Sus scrofa: one gene and its partners. The protein of the gene in region 1 purifies or fractionates together with the protein of each later gene. This does not show direct contact. Links are inferred from orthologs where the notes say so. Each region holds a gene or a part of one and is shown on either strand. Other genes may lie near its edges.

The links.
Region 2: the proteins of POP7 (region 1) and RPP38 purify together in Homo sapiens (co-immunoprecipitation; 3 studies listed by BioGRID and IntAct, with this or other methods). This does not show direct contact. The link is inferred for Sus scrofa from reciprocal best matches to the Homo sapiens genes POP7 and RPP38.
Region 3: the proteins of POP7 (region 1) and RPP30 purify together in Homo sapiens (co-immunoprecipitation; 4 studies listed by BioGRID and IntAct, counting the BioPlex papers as one, with this or other methods). This does not show direct contact. The link is inferred for Sus scrofa from reciprocal best matches to the Homo sapiens genes POP7 and RPP30.
Region 4: the proteins of POP7 (region 1) and RPP40 purify together in Homo sapiens (co-immunoprecipitation; 4 studies listed by BioGRID and IntAct, with this or other methods). This does not show direct contact. The link is inferred for Sus scrofa from reciprocal best matches to the Homo sapiens genes POP7 and RPP40.

What each region holds. Positions count from the first base shown.
Region 1 is NC_010445.4:8,605,981-8,610,518, forward strand, and holds POP7 (ribonuclease P protein subunit p20), read left to right. Parts: upstream 1-1,550; 5' UTR 1,551-1,819; intron 1,820-2,066; 5' UTR 2,067-2,472; intron 2,473-2,685; coding exon of another isoform or gene 2,686-2,722; coding exon 2,723-3,145; 3' UTR 3,146-3,411; downstream 3,412-4,538. Other genes in the region: branchpoint-bridging protein-like, read right to left, coding at 2,686-2,724. UniProt on the Homo sapiens protein: Component of ribonuclease P, a ribonucleoprotein complex that generates mature tRNA molecules by cleaving their 5'-ends. Also a component of the MRP ribonuclease complex, which cleaves pre-rRNA sequences.
Region 2 is NC_010452.4:46,722,550-46,727,542, reverse strand, and holds the start of RPP38 (ribonuclease P protein subunit p38), read left to right. Parts: upstream 1-1,580; 5' UTR 1,581-1,835; intron 1,836-3,072; 5' UTR 3,073-3,177; intron 3,178-4,993. UniProt on the Homo sapiens protein: Component of ribonuclease P, a ribonucleoprotein complex that generates mature tRNA molecules by cleaving their 5'-ends. Also a component of the MRP ribonuclease complex, which cleaves pre-rRNA sequences.
Region 3 is NC_010456.5:102,563,792-102,569,030, forward strand, and holds the start of RPP30 (ribonuclease P protein subunit p30), read left to right. Parts: upstream 1-2,010; 5' UTR 2,011-2,261; coding exon 2,262-2,343; intron 2,344-4,365; coding exon 4,366-4,421; intron 4,422-5,239. UniProt on the Homo sapiens protein: Component of ribonuclease P, a ribonucleoprotein complex that generates mature tRNA molecules by cleaving their 5'-ends. Also a component of the MRP ribonuclease complex, which cleaves pre-rRNA sequences.
Region 4 is NC_010449.5:3,002,074-3,007,331, reverse strand, and holds the start of RPP40 (ribonuclease P protein subunit p40), read left to right. Parts: upstream 1-2,032; 5' UTR 2,033-2,089; coding exon 2,090-2,212; intron 2,213-2,599; exon of another isoform or gene 2,600-2,838; intron 2,839-3,760; coding exon 3,761-3,905; intron 3,906-5,075; coding exon 5,076-5,144; intron 5,145-5,258. UniProt on the Homo sapiens protein: Component of ribonuclease P, a ribonucleoprotein complex that generates mature tRNA molecules by cleaving their 5'-ends. Also a component of the MRP ribonuclease complex, which cleaves pre-rRNA sequences.

The DNA of each region.
Region 1 (4,538 bases):
ATGGGTTCTAAGTTGTGTTAAATGTTTTTTCTGTATCAATTAATATGATCATATATGGTTTTTTCCTTTAGTTTATTAATATGGTAGATAATACTGATTGGTTTTCTTATATGGAAACAGTCCTGCATCTTTGGAATAAACTCTACTTGGTTGTGGTGTATAATTCTTTTTTTATATACCACTAGATTCAGTTTGCTAAGATTTTGATGAGGATTTTGTTGCATTGTTCATGAGAGATATTGGTCTGTGGTTTTCTACTTTGTATAATCTCTGTCTGGTTTGGGTCTCATAAAATGGACCCTCTTCTATTTTCTGAAAGAGATTGTCTAGAATTTGCGTTTTCTTTCTTTCTTTCTTTTTTTTTTTTTTTTTGGTAGAATTCACCAGTAAAACTATGTGAGCCAAGATATTTCTTTTTATAAAGTTAAAAAAAACCTATGAATTTAATTTCCTTAATAGTTACAGAACTATGCAGATGATCTACTTCATCTTGGGTAAGTTTGGTAGTATGTGGTTTTCTGGGAATTGGTCCATAAATTGTGGAATTTGTCTGTAGCGTGGTCTATATTACTCTAAGTATACTTTAATGTATGAGGGATCTTTAGTGCTATCCTCTCTTTCATTTCTGGTAATCATAACTTGAATCTTCGTTCTCTTGTTCTTTTGTCAGTCTTGCTGGAGGCTTATCCATTTTATTGATCTTTTTCAAAGAACCAGCTTTTGGTTTGAATTTCTTTATTGTTTTCTTGTGTTCAGTTTAACGGAGGTTTTTTGGTTTGCTTTTATTAAAGTATAGTTGATTTACAGTGTTGTGCCAATTTCTGCTTTACATACAGCAAAGTGACCCAATCACACGTATATATACATTCTTTTTCTCATAATTTAATTGGTTTTTGTTCTTTATTGTTTCCTCCCATCTTCTCCCTTTGGCTTTACTTCGCTCTTTTTCTAGTTCCTTGAGGTGGAAGCTTGGATTACACTTCCATTCTTTTAAAAATGTTTCCAGAATACTCCTTGGTTCCCTGAAGAACTCCTGTTTGTCCATCAAAACTCAGCTCATATGTCACTTCTGAGGCAGAATAAAGTGGTAGACAGGCTTTCCTCCTCACCCCCAAATAGCCCCCAAACTTGTAAATATCTGAAGCTAAAAAGAACCACAGGATTTAAATGGTGCTGGGAAAGTTCTCAGGAACCTGACCACTTTACAACCTCCAGTCAAATGGAGTCGGACTCCACCCCAGGCAACAAAAAGCCGTGTAGGGGGCATAAAAATGCCAACTCAAATGTATAGGCTTACAGTTTACCCAAGGTTATATCGGGTTTCGAAACTCAGTGGCAAGAACAGGAATTGTCATCCCTATTTGAGTGATGAGAAAACTCAAGCGAAGAACAGTCAAGGACCCCAGTGCAGCTCTAACTCAGTTTCCAGTGGAACTCCACCAAAGCTAAAGCAACCTGGGCCGAGAACCCCTCCCCACTGGCCTTAGGGAGCCTCCAATCCCTCTGTGCTGCCCTGCCCTTCCCGCCAGGGGGCGCAGGTCCCTGCTCCTGGGTGGCGGGCAGAAGCCAAAGAGCTGGTGGATGACGACTGAGGAGTGCTAGTGGGTCTGCGAGCCACAGGGAAGCTGTAAAGGCTAGCCCCACGGCTCACAACTCGCGTCCCCAGGCGCTGGCCTGGAGGTCACCCTGGTCAGAGAAAGGGGAGAAGAACGGGTCCCCGTAAACTGCAGAGGAGTCCCCGAGCCAAAGAACTTGTCCTCCGCCAAGGGCCGGGCCTTGCTTGCCCCCATCTTCGGGCAGCCGGAATCTTGGACGGGAGGTCAGTTCTGCCACACCTCCTCTGACCCGAGGAACTGCGATGGACCCGGGAGTCCAGACTTCTCTTTAGGCCATTCGCGATCAAGATCAGTGGAATTCGCCGTCCTCCCTCACACCTTTGGAAGACCCTTACCCCTAAATCCTCCACGCCCCTAGAAAACCTCCTCTCTTTTCTCCCCTTCATGACTCCTCCGGGAACCGAGTACTGGGTGGGATTGGCCCAGGGAAGCTAACCTTTCTCTTTCCAGATCCTCCCCGGCTTCGACTTGGTATACGCCCCCTGCCTCTGCAGCTTACAAGTGGTAGATCCCATCACCCCCGGAAGCCTCGCGTTACTCAAACACATCGCGCGGTTTTGCGAGCAACTCAGGAAAGGGGCGGGGAGAACGGATGCCGGGAAGGCGATTCGCGGATCGCCCGGGCCTGGCCACGGGGTATGGGCGCGCCTGCGCACTCGGGGGCCTTTTCAGGAGCCTGGTACTAAGGGCGCCCGTGTTTCGGCGTTCCTGCGGCGAGTCCCTTCCCTTCTCTTCCCTTTTTGGGGCCTGGGAGTTGCGGGCAGCTCCTTCCCTTCAGACTGGTCGGCGCAACGCTCGAGTGGCCTGGCAGGGGAGCGGGCTGCGTGCGCGCTGAGGGCACTGTGGAGCGAAGAAGGTAGGCGTGGGAATAGCTGGGGCGGTGGAGGGGCCTGAGATTGGGAGCGATGTGATGGATGAATGGGAACCGGAGGTGGGGGAGATGCTTGAGCTTGAGGTAAGTGGGAAGGGACTGAGACTTGAAGCGACGAGGGGCGTCGAGTGCGACCCCTCTTGGCTGCACCGTTTGGGCGGGAAACGGGGTAGGAAACGAAACCTGGTCTCTCCTCACCCATGGCTGATCTTTCTCCCACACCAGGGCACACTGCATGGCTGAAAACCGAGAACCCCGCGGGGCCGTCGAGGCCGAGCTGGACCCGGTGGAATACACCCTGCGGAAGCGGCTTCCCCACCGCCTGCCCCGGAGGCCCAATGACATTTATGTCAACATGAAGACTGACTTTAAGGCCCAGTTGGCCCGCTGCCAGAAGCTGCTGGACGGAGGGGTAAGGGGTCAGAATGCATGCACTGAGATCTACATTCATGGCTTGGGCCTGGCCATCAACCGCGCCATCAACATTGCCCTGCAGCTGCAGGCTGGCAGCTTCGGGTCCTTGCAGGTAGCTGCCAATACCTCCACCGTGGAGCTTGTCGATGAGCTGGAACCAGAGACTGATACACGAGAGCCACTGACGCGTATCCGCAACAACTCAGCCATCCACATCCGTGTCTTCAGGGTCACACCTAAGTAAAGGAGATGAGGCCGGCCCACCTTATCCACCCATCCCATACAGCTTGGCTCAGAAGTGGCTTTTGTACTGAGTACATGAACCTCCTACCAGGACCATGTAGGATAAAGCCTATCCCCTCACCATCCAGAGGACTCTGAATTGAGAGGGTGAATATTGTCTTTTGTTGGGCTCAAGCCGTGAGTCTTCCTGAATCTTTGTGGTCTGTAACCATTGTCCTATACAATAAAAAGCATCAAGTTGTGTTAGTGCCTGGCCACCCAACTGCACCACCTCTCTGCTGTGTAAATTCAGTGTGTACCTGGAAAGGAGAGTAGGAGTAAAATTTTACAAGGACGTAGGTACAAGAGGGGAAACAGTGTTTCCTGCCTTCACAGAAAGAGCATAAATTGTACCACAGACACTGCAGCATAAAACAAACTTTAGCACAAAACAGAAGTCTGAAAATCCTGATGTTTGCTTTCAAATATTTCATTCTCTCAGGAGCTCCCACTGTGGTGCAGTGGGATTGGGAGTGCTGGGATGCGGGTTGGATCGCCATCCCCACACACTGGGCTAAGGATCTGATCCTGAGCCCAGGAGCTCTATATGCCTCAGGGCAGCCAAAAAAAAATTTTTTTTTCATCCTCTCAGAAGAAGGCAGGGTGGATAATGTGTATATTCTTGCCAGCTGGGGTGTAAAGCATCAGGCACTACTCTGGTGCTGGTTACCAGGCACAGGAAAGGTGAGGGTATAAGGATGATGGACGCAAAGACAGGCCCCTCCTTTGTAAAAGGCTGTTAAGGCTGTCGTGGGAACCGACAAACTGACAGCTACATTCGATTCCTGGTGGCGGGGGGCAAATTGTTCTAAACAGCTATTCAGACCCCTCTGGCTAGGCTATTCTAAGAGGGAAAGGAAAGCCTTTCCTCTGAATTACTGGGCATACAGGCCATAAGTACTTTTTTGTTTGGATATTTGTAGGAGGATCTGATTTCTCATGTTTATCAAACGAGTCATCTAAAGCAATGTTATCCAAGTGGGTGGTGACCGTTTGTGAGGTTTAAAATCAATTCACTGGGTCATAGCCTTTTAAAAAGCAAGTAAAAAAGAAAAAGTGCAGCTTCAATGGTAATATCTTGTTGACACTGTTTCAGTTGTAGATGTGTATATAGACACATGTACTAGTTATGACATAAATCTTACTGTTGGTTGAGGTCACAAGAGTTTGAAAGCCTTTGATCTAAAGGTTAATAACAGAATTTGCCTCTAGTTTGCCTGAAGGCAGTTTGGTTAGGGGTTCTGAAAATCAGCCTTTCCGTTTATCAGAATCTCACCCCCCAGCTTGAGTATTACTGTTGATGAGGGACTTTGATGCTGTACAGGTGACTATCAGCAACTCAGGAAAGGACAGAA
Region 2 (4,993 bases), on another chromosome or scaffold:
TCTGAGATGTTAGGGGGACAAAACCTCATACATAATTCCTTCCCTTTAGCATTTTAATCAGACGTGCATTTCTATTTGTCTTACATCTTAAAAGCTAAATTTGACACTATTTTTAATTTTATTTTTTAGATATTAAAATATTAGATTATTTTAAAAATGTCATGCCTATTTCATTTTTAAAAACCTTTTTAAAAACCTTCCACTCTGATTCAATGATTTCTCATCTTTTTATCCAATTTCTGAGAGCTTTAAAAACTTGTATTTGGTGGCATCACTTAGAATGTGATTTACACTCAACATTACTTCATCTTTGAAATGATACTTTTATCATTCTTGAATCACTGTGGCTTCATTGAAGGTTTGAGAGACACTCTGTAGGACTAAGTCATTACCCTGTAATTTGACAGTAGATGAAGTATCACCTTTTCATTACTTTGAAAAAAAAATGACCTTGCAATTGATTCTTACATTTAACATTTAAATATCAGTTCTGCCACCATTAAATTTAACTGCATTGACCACATAAGAAGCCAGAAAAATCACTGGGTCACAGGTTAATCTAATTCAATTTAAAGCCAACAAAGGATAACTATAATTAGTAATTTACCAATTCAAGGGCCAGAGTTGTTACATTCAAAACTGGTTGATTTGGGAGTAATTAGCCTTAAATTTTAAAACATTATTCTGGTTGCAGAAGCTCTTTCAGGAGCTTATTAATATTTTTAACAGACTGGATGATTCATGAAGTCTAAGCTATTACCTAACACAGCCAAAACTGTTGCACTTACTGTCTGAGTCTGTAAATTGATCTTATTTTACTTGACCTGCCTTAGGGTATAGGCTCACAGCCTTTTTTTTATCAGTGGTAGTATACATGCTAGTTAGTCCCCAACAAAGATTTTGAGTATTACATTAAAAAATAAAAACAAAACAAAAAAAAACACAAGATACAAACTTCTTGCCTTCCAAAGCCCAACACCTCCATCTCGTTTCTGATGAATAAGGAGACTGGCAGGGTACAAACAGAGCAGAGCCGAATTAGGACAGTCAGTGACATTTCAAGAAAAGAATTCTGCTGGACCATGAGGACTTGCTGCCCCAAACTGAGACTAATTTAGAACTGCCTGTTTGCAGTGCATCAGCATTATTTGTTACTATTCATTTTATGAAACAAAAGTTGTTACAAATTCGTTGTAAATTCATTCTTTTAAATCTGATTGTAATAAAAATTTAAAAATCACAGGCGTTTCACTCCTGGCGCAGCAGTTAACTGCCGGACTTGTGACGGCACCTCCCCATCCCCTATTTATCTTGATTTCCACGTTGCTAGGGATTCGGCAGGGACTCAGTGACAGAGGCACTGCGTCAGGGTTTTGCGACCCTCAGGTAAGTTAAAAACTAAAGCGAGAAGAGCTCAGATCCCCAGGCGCAGAAAGGAGGACACTGGAAGAGTGTTGCGTTACAAAGTAGAAAACCATCCTCTCGGAGTCTAATGGCGAAGGGACTGGCGCTCACATCCAGCCGCACACCCCGCAAGCGGCCGGTTACCAGGCAACCAGAGCTCTCGCGAGACACACCCTGCACCTGCGCACTGCCTCTGGATGGCCTTTTCCGGATCCTCACCCCAGCTCAAGGCAGTTTCTAGAGATCGAACCTTTCCCTTTTTCTAGCCTTTTTGAGAAATGGCGTTTGGGACTAGCCCGGCGCAGAAGGAAGAAGAGTGAGGTCCCCCGAGTGGTCCACATCACCCCAGCGCGTCGAAAGGCGGGGCCGGAGAAGGCGCAGGTTCTGCGCGCGCGCAGAGCGGCCCACGTGGAGCTGGCGCAGAGGCCACCGTGAGTGGGGCTCGGGCGGGGGTCTGACGTTCCGAGCGGCCGCCAGGGGAGGGATCCGTCCTGGGGCTTTGCCGGGTGCGCGCCGTCTCCCCCGCTCCCCGACTCTGAGGGCGCACGCACCCGGGACCACAGTGTTTTCCGGTGTCCTGGCTTTGGCCGCTAGTCTGCTCTCCGCCGGGAGCTGAGCACTGTTGGGTACGAGAAATAACGCCCACCCTGGTCCCTCTGTACTACTCAGTCTGGAAGTGGAGGCGGACAAGAAAATAATTCTAGTCTCGTGTGCTAAACCGTAAAGTCGGTAGGCACTAGAGAGGCAGCAGACATTAGGAGGGATCAACACTGGGAATTGGCCCTGTCATCCCCTCGGCTGCCGGACCCCGAAACTCGAGACCCCTCTCTTGAGTTCTTTCTCTGTTTTACTCCCAGTTGATCGCTAAGTCGGGCGGATTGCACCCCTTCTGTTCATCCCTCTGCGGCGTCTCTAGTGCCGCAGTCATTTCTTTACGGTTTGGTCCTTGGCAAAGGCCTCCTCCTGGTCCAAGTTCACACAGCTCTTTCCCTGAGGCCTTTCTAACTACATCGCTCATCTTGCTTTGAACGTTCCCACTGCCGCTTCCCGCTGCAAGGTTTGCAAGTCTTCCTCACCATCTCACCCGCTCTAGCATCTCTGCTCCGGCGATATTGACATTCTTTCTTTTAACGCAATTTCCTGGGATACCCTTTCTGATAGCCCTTTGGTAGGTATTCTTCAGATGCAGGTTAAAGGGACACTTCCTCCAGGAGGCCTTTCCTGACCTTCTCAACAGAGTCAGATCTCTGCTCTACATCTCGTAGTTTCCGTACCTTGATTTGCATCGCATGTTATTTTATTACTCGCTGATAAATCTTCCTCATAGGTTCTGAGCCCAGTGGATCCAGTGGCTGTTTTGCTTTCATTTGTAATCTTTCTGGCTTGCTGGCATTGTGGGAAATGCGCAGATACTTGCTCTAGTAAGAAATATGGTGTTGTTGGGGCTGATGGTAGGAGTAGTTTTCCAGGCAGAGGGAATATGTATAAAGCCCTGGAGGGAGGAACTGGTCATCTCTTGAAACAATATGTGGGGCATGAGGAGAAAGATGATGGGGGGATGCGCCAGAGTGTGGACTGACTTGGCTGTCACCTTAATGAGTTCACACTTGATGCTACAGGCCTGAGGCCTCCATTTTCTTTCAAATCCTGTTACTTCTTCCACTTTAGTTTTGGATTCTGTTCCATGAGACTCATCTGAACGGAACCCCTTGGTCCTTGTCTCCCTGTCTAGATTCTGAAGCCAGGAGGAGCTGATGCACAGAGCACGTACCTGTAAGTATTTCCTCCGTGTTGTCTGGATGCTGAGGCACGTGAACTGTGGTTTGCAGTCTGGCAGGACCTCTGTCAGATCATTGTATTCGTTCCTGAGTCATTTATTTCCCTCCTCTGACCACCTTCGGGTTGGCACTGGCCTCTGCCAATCCCGTCATGGGGCGTGACTGCACTGGAGGGGAGTGTGGGGATGATGGGTGGGGAGGGCTGCGCCCTGGGGCAGGGTGGAGGAAGCAGCTTCAGAGGCCCAAACCGCCTTTCTAGCCGTGGGCACCACTGATACCAACACCAAGGTCTGGGCTCTCTCCCCTAGGGAGCTGAATTTTGATTTTCTGTGAGAAGGTGACGTAGAAGGAACACCAAGGCCAGCAGAGGTCAGGGGACCATTTCTCAGGCTGCCCGGTGTGGAAAGGCCCCCGTCCTACACCGGCGTTCTCAAGCCCCATTCTCTATCAGATTCCCGGCAGCCTTTTTTCCAAGTACAGGTGCCGTGCCATGTCCTCAGGGATTCCGATTCAGTAGACCTTGAGAGGACCAGCCGTCCACATGTTTTACCAAAAAGTCACAGATTAGGGAGTTCCTGTTGTGGTTCAGCGGATTAAGAACTATGACTATTATCCATGAGGATGAGGGTTTGATCCCTGGCCTCCCTCAGTGGGTTAAGGATCCGGGGTTGCTGTGGGCTGTGGTGCAGGCTGGCAGCTGCAGCTCTGATTCACCCCCTAGCCTGGGCACTTTCATATGCTGTAGGTGCGGCCCTAAAAAGACAAAGAAAAAGTCACAGATTATTTCTGAGGTGCAGCCAGGATTGAGAGAGCATTAAAATTGGATTTGGGAAAACCAGGTGTGACTCGGGCAAGGTACTTACTTAACCTGAGCCCTTCTCCTCCTCCACACGCTAGGCAGTTAAACTGGTGCTTTGTGAGCATCTGATAATTCACAGAGAAATTGTTCACACATTCTGACTACCCCACGGAAATACCTGCCCTTCAGCAACAGCATCAGTGACTGGGCTTCTGGGTGGAAGTTTACTTGGAGGGGACTTAACTGCTAATCCTGCAGGGGGCGCTCTGCGGAGGGCGGGTGTCCATGGGATGAAAAGATCTACAATGAGGGCGTATCTGGAATGAGAAAATCTGGTTACCTGAGAACAGGGACGAACAGGGACACCACCCAGCTCCAGACTTCTCCAGAGCTGGCTAGTTGAACTTCCTTCAGTTTTGCAACATGGGTCCCTGTGGTTCCCAGCTGAGCCCAGGAAGGAAGTGAGGAAGAAAACAAGGGAAGAGCCATATGCAGTTTCCTCTGGGCAGGATGACCAGGACATGTGCTCCAGAGCAGTGGTGGATAACATTTCACCAGTAAGGACCCCCTCTTACTGTTTTGCCTTAATGGATTAATATCTTTAACTTCCATTACAAATTTCCCTCGTTTTCATCACAGAGTCAGCCAGAGGAATGTAGGAAGGGGGCAACTGTGTACTGATGTTTTAGGAAAGATGCACAAGAAACTCAGGGTCCAGGGAGGGAGGGAGGGAGGCTTACGAAAGGGCACAGAATGAAAGCATCATTGTCACGTGCATACTCTGCTGTTCCAGTTCTTAGAAAATCACACCAGGTTACTTAGGAATGGCAGAGGCTTCTGGGGCCCTCACAGATTGTACCTGGGGCCTTGTTGAAGGCAGAACCCCAGCGCCTAATCCGACTCTGGTGGAGATGCTCAGTGCCTACTGGCTGAATGGATGGACGGAAGCCTCCCTAGAGAGCAATTTAGAAAATGGTAACAGATCTATCAGACTAATACTACAGGCCCTTTA
Region 3 (5,239 bases), on another chromosome or scaffold:
TCTTTTTGCTATTTATTGGGCAGCTCCCGTGGCATATGGAGGTTCCCAGGCTAGGCGTCGAATTGGAGCTGTAGCCGCCAGCCTACGCCAGAGCCACAGCAATGCCAGATCCGAGCCGCGTCTGCAATCTACACCACAGCTCAAGGCAACGCTGGATCCTTAACCCACTGAGCAAGGGCAGGGACGGAACACGCGACCTCATGGTTCCTAGTCGGATTCATTCACCACTGCGCCACGACTGGAACTCCCCAAGTCAACTTCTGGCTCCTCTTCCCTTCTCATCTCCCCTATGGCATTCTCTTTTTTCTCTCTTCCCACTCCTCCTTCCCTCTTCTATCTCCTTCCTTTCCTTTCCCTCTCTCCCTACTTCCTCTGTCCTCCCCCTCCATTCATTCTCCCCCCACCCCCGCCCTTCATTCTCCTCTTCCTTTCCCCTGTCTTTACTCCCTCCTCTTTTCCATCCTCCAACTCTCCTCTCTGCTTGCTTTGTCCAGGAGACAGTACATAGAGACATGAGAATAGATCCAAGCCACCTGGATCCACCTGTGGTCCTACCACAATGACCTAAGCCTCAGATGATTCAAATGTAAAATGCAGAGGTTGTGGAAAAAGCAGCACTTAACTCAGTTGTTTTGAAAATTAAACATGCAGGCAACTACTTAGCAAATAGGCTGGCCCTCAGTAGACTGCTCAGTGACTGTCGTTCATTCATTTTCTTTTTCGTCCTTCTTCCTCCCTTCTAAGCCCAGGGTGAAGATAAGAAGTTTAAAGGGTATACAGTCCACAGAAACAGCGTCATGACTTTCAAAGAAAGAAGCCCTCTGTAGTCTAATTCTGGTATCAAATAATGAGTCATCTTATTCACCTTCACCACACATCGGACATATTTCCAAACAATTTAGGTTTTGTGGCTGCAGATGAAGACGCCTATAAAATTAACACTAGATCTTCCTGCAAAATTAACACGAGATTTTCAGATGAGAAGCCAGAGTTTGTTTTATATGACTTTCTTCTATTTGCAGAAGTAAAATTTTCTTCTGTTCTTACTTAGAAAACATCAAATATTAGATAGCAGAAGATTTCTTTTTTATTGAACTTAACCAAAAGGAGAATTACATACTACCACATGGAACAGATCCCTCTTAAAATTCCCTTCTGAGACCAAGAAAGAAGTCATGTAAAGAACAAATCAAGATGTGGCCCACAAACCCGAGACTCTGTGTACTGTCTGTGACAAGTTAGCAAAGAAACGGAAAATGTTTACAAACTTTCACATCCCTTTGGCATAGTCTGGAGATCCAAGCCCCTGATTTGTGGACTCTTATTCAGTCTAGTATAGAGCAGTTCAGATGTTAGATTAATCTTTTGAGGCCAGAGCTGCCTGTGGGTAAAGGACAATGGATCACTACTGGTGCTAGAAGAACTGGTGGAGGGAGGGGGGTTGGGAACTCGGTGAACTGACCCAGTAATCACGGGTACTTTGTAAAGCAGTGATGTAAACTCTAGTTCCAGAGTTTTATGTTCTCGGATAATTAATTTATCACTCTTCAAGAGTTCATGTGTACGAAAATGTGGAACCATCACAACTGTGGGATATATTCCACCTTGTACATCTGTCAGACGGAAAACTGTAAAACATTTCAATTGTGCACCTCCCTTGTCTAACCCATTTTTGGCTAAACACGTGCTGAAGCTAACCGCTTATCCCTGCCAACTCCAGGTTGAGAATACTGGCTGTAATGGAGTTTAGCATGCTGTGCCACCGTCTGTTCTGATTGAGCAAAATGACTTTTTTCTCGAGCAAACCTTTTTCGAGTTGTCAGGTCAGTTTCCCCATCTCCCCATTAAGTCCAATTTAAACAATGGAATGACCTTTAGGGGCGGGAAAGAAAAACGGATTTAAAACCCTTACTTTTTAAGGGTTTCCAGACCTTCTTTCCCTGTAAGTCCTCAATAAATGCTGTATACGTACATTTTGAAAGAATCATTTTCTACATTATTTCACAGGAGGAATGGTGGGCTATGTGAACCCCTTCGAGGGAAACAAAACTTTCCCATCCAGAGGAAGAAGAACTGAAGTGAGGCTGCTGACTTCCACACACTAACTTCTGCTGGGATCCGAAGGCGCTCAAAGAGCCTGGGAACGTCAGTCCGCGGGAGGGACGGGAGGACTGCTTAGGAAAACTGCAATTCCCAGCGTGCCCCGAGGGGGCGGGCCCTGCGGCTGCGCAGACAGCCGCGCAAGTTCACGTGATTTCAGCATGGCGGTGTTCGTGGATTTGGACCTGCGAGCGGGTTCCGACCTCAAGGCGCTGCGTGGGCTCGTGGAGAACGCCGCTTACCGTGAGTCGCCGCGGCTTCGCGAGCAGCGGTGCCTGCCCAGCCTCGCTGCCATCCAGATCGTCGGGCCACGTTCGGAAGGGACGCGGCCGGGCCTCATTCAGGTCTTCTGGGGTCTGGAGGCAGTCTCTGGAAGCTGATGCCTTCTGCGGGGTTGCTGTGATCCCGGGCCCGGGAAACTCGAAAAGCGCTGGGGAACTGTTACCCAGTCCAGCTCCTTCTTTATTGTGAATTGGGGAACTGAGGTCCTAACAGGGCCAGGGACTTATATAGGGCCTCACAGCTGAAGGCTGGCCAAAGCTAGTCTCCACCTGTGCTTTTAATATCGCCCCTTCCTACCTCTCACCACTGTGTACTGACTCAGTCAAATGCGGAAAGCTGGTTGGTGCACAGATGGGGAGTGCTTTGGGTGCTCCGAAAATGGGCGGGGGTGGTGGGACGTGGGGCTGCGAGTGTTGGAATAATGTTATTTAGAGGGAGGGTAGGTTGAGGCGTAGGACACACCAAGAGGTTGGGAAGGGACCAGCATGGCCAGAATGCTAGAATGTTACTCGTATTTGAATCCAAGGAAAGCAGAAGCCCTGAGAGGTAAGATCGTTCTAATCGAAGTTAATCGCGACTTCTGCCTTCTTCCTTAGACTTAAAGTGTCTAAGTGGAGATAGAGGGGTTTAAAAATAAAGACATTTCTTCGAAGTTCCCGGTTGTGGTTCAGCGGTAACAACCTAACTCGTATCCATGAAGATGTGGGTTCTACCCCTGGCTTCTGTCAGCGGGTTAAGGATCCGTCGTTGGGGTGAGCGTCGGTGTACAGATGCGGCTTGAAGTCCGTGTTGCTGTGGCTGTGGTGTAGGCTGGCAGCTATAGCTCTGATTCGACCCCTAGCCTGCGAACTTCCATATGCCACAGGTACGGCCCTAAAAAGCAAAAAAAAAAAAAAAGAGAGAGAGAGAGAGATATCTGCAGGGCCTATCAAGTAATGGATCCTCATTTGAAGGAGGAAAGAAAGAAGGAAATTGGAAAAACTATTGAGAGGGAAGACCACTATCTTGGCATTAATATATGTTATTTATTTATTTAGTCCTTTTAGGGCCGTACCCTTAGGGTATGGAAGTTCCCTGGTTAGGGGTTGAAGCTGCAGCTGCCCACCTATGCCACAGCAACATGGAATCCTGGTGGAGGCTTGAACCTACACCACAGCTCGTGGCAACACTGGATTCTTAATCCACTAAATGAGGCTAGGGATCAGACCTGCAGCTTTTTGGATACTAGTCAGGTTCATTACTGCTGAGCCACAACAGGAACTCCGATATGCATTATTTCTTTAATATTAATATCCTGTCCTCCCCATTGGTGTTTAACTCAACGTTTTAAGTCATGATTTAGATGTATTTTTGGTAGTCCATATGTCCAAAAACAGTGCTGTGTTGAGGCTGATAAACTAGGCTCTGACTTCAGAGAGTTCCCAATCTCTTGTTGGTGGGCAACTCAAAAGGGGATGGGGACAGTGGCATGTAAGGGAGTCCTTATTCCATTTCTCCTTAGCACAGGGGCCTCTGAAAAAGCAGAAGGGGTAAAGAGCAAACAAAATGAGTAAGAATGAAGATAACAGTGAAAAAATATAATTTGATGGGATGAAAATGAAAAAAGGCCTGAAAGAGAATGATGGTTGAAAGGAGATGCACAAAGTTAAGGGTCTTCTGTGTCTTGCTAATAATACATCACCCAGGTCAAACAAAACCCTAACTCTGTGCCAGCCACCATTTTTAAACATGCTATGTGTGTTATCTCATTTAGTTCTCATGACAGTTATATGGGGTAAATTCTGTTATTAACACCATATGATAGATGAAGAAGCTGAAACTTAAAGTAACTTAAGATTTGAAAACTGGCAGTCTGACTCCAGAGCCTGTCCCATAACCATTCTTCTAACTATCTTCTAGTCTTGATATGAATTGGGATGAGCCTATGTGTACAGGGAAGAGAGGTTATTGTATTTAATAAGAATGTTCAATTTTTCTTTTCAGTGGGCTATTCAGTTGTTGCCATCAATCATGTTGTTGAATTTAAGGAAAAGAAACAGGTAAAATACAATTTCTGAAGTTAATAATAACTAGCATTTATAATTATTTGTGTGTATATTTGTAATATAGAAGCTGCAGATGAGCATATTTGTTAAGTTCACTCTTTGTACACTGTCTTTTTTTATTTTTTGTTTATTTTTTTATTTTACCCTTTTTTTTTTTTTTTTTTTAGGGCAGCACCGACGGCGTATGGAAGTTCTCAGGCTAGGGGATGGATCAGAGCTGAAGCTGCCAGCCTATACCACAACCATAGCAACGCCAGGTCCAAGCTGCGTCTGCCACCTTTGCTGCAGCTCATGGCAGTGCCGGATCCTTAACTCGCTGAGCAGGGCCAAGGATCAAACCCACGTCCTCATGGATATTAGTTGACGCACAACAGGAACTCCTTTTTTTTTTTTTTTTTTTTTTTTTTTTTTTTTTGTTAAGTTCTGCATCTGCGGCATATGGAAGTTCCCAGGCCAGGGATTGAGTCTGAGCCATAGCTGCAACCTGCACCGCAGATATGGCAAGGCATGATGCATCAACCCTCTGCACTGGCCTGGGGATTGAACACATACCTCTGCAGCGACCTAAGCTGCTGCAGTCAGAATCTTAACTCACTGTGCCACAACAGGAACTTCTGCACTGTCTTATATGTTAACAGTTGAGCTGATGAATATTTGTGCAAATGATAAGGTTTTTAGTGAAGTGCTAGGGCATGGTATAAGGATTCTTATAGTTGATTTGATGTTAATTAACTTTCAGTAACTTAAAGTGCATTGTTATTGACTAAACTGTAATCACAATATTTAGTTCTTTTTATATTTCTGTCAGTGAC
Region 4 (5,258 bases), on another chromosome or scaffold:
CATGGAATTAGGTTTTGTCTTCTTTTTGTCTTTTCTTTTTTTTATGGCTGCACCTATGGCATATGGAAGTTCCCAGGCTAGGGGTCAAATTAGAGCTGCAGCTGCCGGCCTACCCCACAACCACAGCAACTTGGAATCCTTAACCCACTGAGTGAGGCCAAGGATCGAACCCACATCCTCATGGATACTGGTTGGATTTGTCACTGCTGAGCCACAATGGTAATGCCATAATTTTTTTTCAAAAAAAATTGAAAAAAATTCCAAATATTATGTGCCAAATCTTTGTATTTAGTAAGTTTATTTATTTAGTAAGTTTTTAAGAATAGGATCAGGAATTCCTGTCATGGCTCAGTGGAAACGAATCTGACTAGCATTCATGAGGACGCGGGTTCGATCCCTAGCCTGTCTCCGTGGGTTGAAGGATCAGGTGTTGTTCAATAGTTGTTGAGAAGCAACTGCTATTGAATTGTGTGGTAACCAAGAAGTATTGCTTTAAGTATTTTATATTCTAATACAATATTCATAAGTTACATCTAGATGCCATATTGTGATTTAGGATATTGGTAGTTGTTTGATTGACTTGCTATTCCTTCTTTCTCCTACTTAAAATAATGGAAAATAGGTTTTGCTTAGAGTGCTCTGAGATAATCTGACATTTGAGGCATAGGTCGCTGACATTAATGGCAGAAGATTTTCCAGTCTGTCTTCGTTTTATTATATATATATATATATATATATATATATTTGCTTTTTAGGGCCCCACCCTGGAGGTTCCTAGGCTAGGGGTTGTTGAATCAGAGTTACAGCTGCCGGCCTACGCCACGGCTCGCGGCAACGCAGGACCCTTAACCCACTGAATGAGGCCAGGCATCACACACACATCTTCATGGATACTAGTCGGATTTGTTTCCGCTGAGCCACAACGGGAATTCCGTCTTAGTTTTGGAATTGCAAATACTTACCCCCTAAATCACTTAACTTCTGTCCTTCCAAATCTTTTAGTAAAATTAATGCTCCAGAAAGGTGTATCACAAATACTCTGTTTGCATCCTCTGTGTAGAACTGGGGCTGTGCATCCTCCAGTTTGAAAAGCGTGGAGTAGTACAGTACTTGGAGTTAAGCAGAAAAATTAGATGGAAAAATGAGTTATCACTATAACCTCCAAGAGCAACAAATTATTAAAAGCAGTTCCACATTGCTGTGGCTGTGGTGTAGGCCAGCAGCTACACCTCGGATTTGACCTCTAGCCTGGGAACCTCCATATGCCAGCGGGTGCAGCCCTAAAAACAAAAACAAAGTTGCAAAAGGGGATTCCCGCCTGGAGCAGTGGACTAAGGTCTGAAGTTGTCACTGCAGCGGCTGGGGTCACTGCTGTAGCTCAGGTTCCGTTCACATGCCACATGAGCAGCCAAAAAAAGTTCCAAAAAGATATGTAAAAAAGGATGTTAAAAGTAGTTCTGGGGAGTTCCCATCATGGCGCAGTGGTAACGAATCCGACTAGGAACCATGAGATTTCGGGTTCAATCCCTGACTTTGCTCAGTGGGTTAAGGACCCGGTGTTGCTGTGAGCTGTGGTGTAGGTTGCAGACGCGGCTCGGAACCTGTGTTGCTGTGGCTGTGGTGTAGGCCGACGGCTACAGCTCCGATTGGACCCCTAGCCCGGGAACCTCCTCCATATGCCGCGTGTGCGGCCCAAGAAATAGCAAAAAGACAAAAAAAAAAAAGAAAAATTAACTCGGAAGAAGTCTTAAGGAGTCCTATTGAAGGTACTGAGTACTACCTTTCTACGCAAAAGTTTGTGTAGAACTTGGGAAGGAGCAACCCCAGTCTAGAGAAAGGATTCAGGCAAGAGCATTCATTTCGGGCAGCGCACCTTCCCAGTACCCACCAGCGAGTTTTGCCCTGGGTTCACCGTCAGCCTAGTCCCGCACTCTGCGTCAGCCCCGCCCCTACCCTGGCCGCCTGAACACGTGTGGCCTGCAGGCACTGCGCATGCCCGCGGCGAAGGGGCGGGGCGGGCGAGGAGGGGCGGGGCGGGCGAGGAGGGGCGGGGCTAGCCGAGCCCCGGCAGGGCCCGCGCGGGGAGAGTATGGCCACGCTGTGCAGGCTGCGGGAGGTTCCCCGGCACTTGCTGGTCTGCGAGAAGTCCAACTTCGGCCACGACAAGTCGCGCCACCGGCATATCGTGGAGACGCACTATTACAATTACAGGGTAAGTCTCCGCCCTGAGACCGCGAACCGAGCTCCATAGCGCGGAGGAGAGGGAGGCTTGGGACAGCCGGGCTCTCTTCCTCGGGAGCCCGCCCTCGGCGTGCGGAGGGGCTTGGGCCTCTCCAGGCATGCTGGGAACTGTAGTCTCCTAGCCTGTTCGGGTCTGCGGTTTGCCCCGCTACAGGACTACAACTCCCAGGATGCGCCGGCGCGGGGCGGTGTCCCGCCGTTGGAGGAAGGAGCGGGGCGGCGTGCGGCTGGCCGCTTGTTCCCACCGGGTCGCAGATTGGGCGCGTCCCGGGAGGGGCGGGGCCGGGGGTAGGCGGGCAATGCCCCGCACGTGGTCCGAACCGGACTCGCTCTTCCACAAACCGGTTTCCTTTCCCAGTGCGCCCGCCCGCGGGGGTCTTTCCTGAGCACCGCGCGCCGTCTGGCCGGGAGGCTGCTGGCTGTTCTGATCCGCCCCTCGGCCCTGGTTAGACGTCTGAGACACTGTGCCTTTTGCTTGGTGCCTTCCGCGATGTCCCACGGAAGCGAACCTTCTCGCCATCTCTTTGGCAGAAAGGCGCCGAGGTGGCCCTGCTCGCGAGCACGTAAGAGCGATGTTCGCTGTTGCCTCGTGAAAAGGTCAAGCTCACGGGGCGCCTTTTTCGTGGGTGCGGCGGGCGAGGCACCAGGGAGGTTAATTATTGGTTTATCCAGCATCTGCTGAGAGTAGAAAACTTCTGTAGCTCCCAGGCAAGTGTCTGGTGGGCCAGCTTCACCAACCCATTTAAGTGGAGGGGGCTTCAAAAAACCTTAAAATGAAAATGGCTTAAGCCTTTTATACTTTAAATCGATGAGCCTAATTTCAACTCGGGCCTGACCGGCCCCATCCTCAGACACAAGTGGTGACGCTGGTTCCTCTGGGCCAGACTGGTGTCCCAGCTTTGGGTGCGTGGTTTTTCAGGGTGTGGAGCACTTGGGCAGCATTTGAAATCTTTCAGGTTGAGTATCTCTGCTTTGGATGGAGAGCTCGTCACAGGCAGCCTGGGATGTGTTCCTTACCTCCCCGGTCTCATCTGTAGAGTTTTTCTACCTGAAAAGTGGAAACATCCAGCAGACTTCTGCTTCTTTGAAGCCTCATAATAATTGGCGTCCCTAAATTCCTTATGCCCTAAGGGACAGTTCCTTTGGTTCCAGCCTGGTACCAGGTGTAGGGATATTCCGCTGTCCGCTACGCAGATCTGGGGATGTGCACTTGTACCATATTTTCCTAAAAGTTAATTCATGTAGTGAAAGGAACAGGACCGAAAATACATCGTTCATTTGCAGAACATAAGACAAAAGCCAGAGCTTTCCATTAAAATTGTTTTGCTCATCAATACAGAAATGAAAAAACCTGGGTGTTGATCTATACGAAAGTCAAACTTGTTTAAACTGTGTCGTGGACTAAAATCTACAAAAACACGCACGCACTCTGCTCTACATGTGAAACGAACACAATGCTATAAGTCCACTATACTTCAGCTTTTAAAAATAAGCCTTGTTATATTCTGCCTACCAATAGGTTTCCTTTCTGATTCCTGAATGTGGGATACTCTCAAAAGAACTGAAAGACCTGGTCATGGCGTTTGGACCTTATTACTCTGTGAAGGATTTACCTCTTCATGAATTAATCACCCACGAATTCATTAATACTTTTGTAAAGAAAGGTAAGAAAAGCCGTGTAGTGTCTGTGAATGTGGTGAGATGACATCCAGGGGGAGGGCACCAAAGTACTAGAGTTCTTCTTGTTTTTTTATTTATTTGTTTCTTTAGGGCTTTTTTTTTTTAGGGCCACAACCAGGGCATATGGAGGTTGCCAGGCTAGGGGTTGAATTGGAGCTATAGCTGCCGGCCTACACCACCGCCACAGCAACGCCAGGTCCTTAACCCACTGAGCGGGGCCAGGGATGCAGCCCAAATCCTCATGGATACTAACGGCTGAGTCATGTTCTTAAGTGCTGAGCCCTGACGGGAACTCATTTATTTATTTATTTGGCCATGCCCTCGGCGTGTAGAAGTTCCCAGGCCAGCGATTAAACCCAAGTCACAGCAGCGACCTGAGCCACTGCAGCGACAACACTAGATCCTTAACCTGCTGAACTGCACGGGAGCTGCCGCTTCTCCTGTTTGAGTAGGGCTGGCAGAGACCGTCTGTGTGGTCCCTTCATCTCCCAGTGTGTGCGCTCATTAGATGGTGGTTTCTGCTTTTTTTGTGGCGGGGGCCACACCTGCGGCATATGGAAGTTCCCAGCCTGGGGGTTGAATCGGAGCTACAGCTGCTGGCCTACACCACAGCCACAGCAACGCGGGATCCAAGCTACGTCTGTGACAGACCACAGCTCACGGCAAAATGCCAGATCCTTAACCCACTGAGCGAGGCCAGGCATTGAACCTGTCTCCTCCTGGAGGCGCGTCAGAGTCCTTCCTGCTGAGCCACGACAGGAACTCCTGAGTAGCTTTCTTGACTTGAACGCAAGTTCCTGGCGCAGTTGAGTCTTCACCTGGCCTCTCCCTCTCAGGTGTGCACAGTCACCTACCCGCTCACCTCCTGCCTCTCTGCCAGCATCCCCAAGGGTACGCACTCCATCCTGAGTCCATTTTCTGTGCGATGGTAGAGTCCGCGGGCACCAGCAGGCCCCGGGCGCCGACGTGGACGAGCCATGCTTGGCCTTCGTGTCCTCCAGCTTTGCTTTGTCGGGTCGGAGGGCCCCTGAGGGAGCTGGAGCTGGAGCAGTGACCCGGAAGATGGTGTCATCACGTGAAAATACTCCAGCAGCCTTTGCAGGAGTGGCCTTTTTTTTCTCGCCTTCGTTCTCCTCTGGGCTTTTCGTTTCCAGGTTCGTGCTCTGCCCTAACGTACAACGCGAACATCGACGAGGATAACGCTGCCGCCCTCCTGCCCAACGGTAACGACTTGCGTTTTTCATTCTGTCTGTAATTGTAAAGGAAGTACGCCCTGTAAAAAAGAAAATGCCAGGGCTCCAGGGGAAGAGTGGAAGCCCCCTTCATCCCCTTCCCTC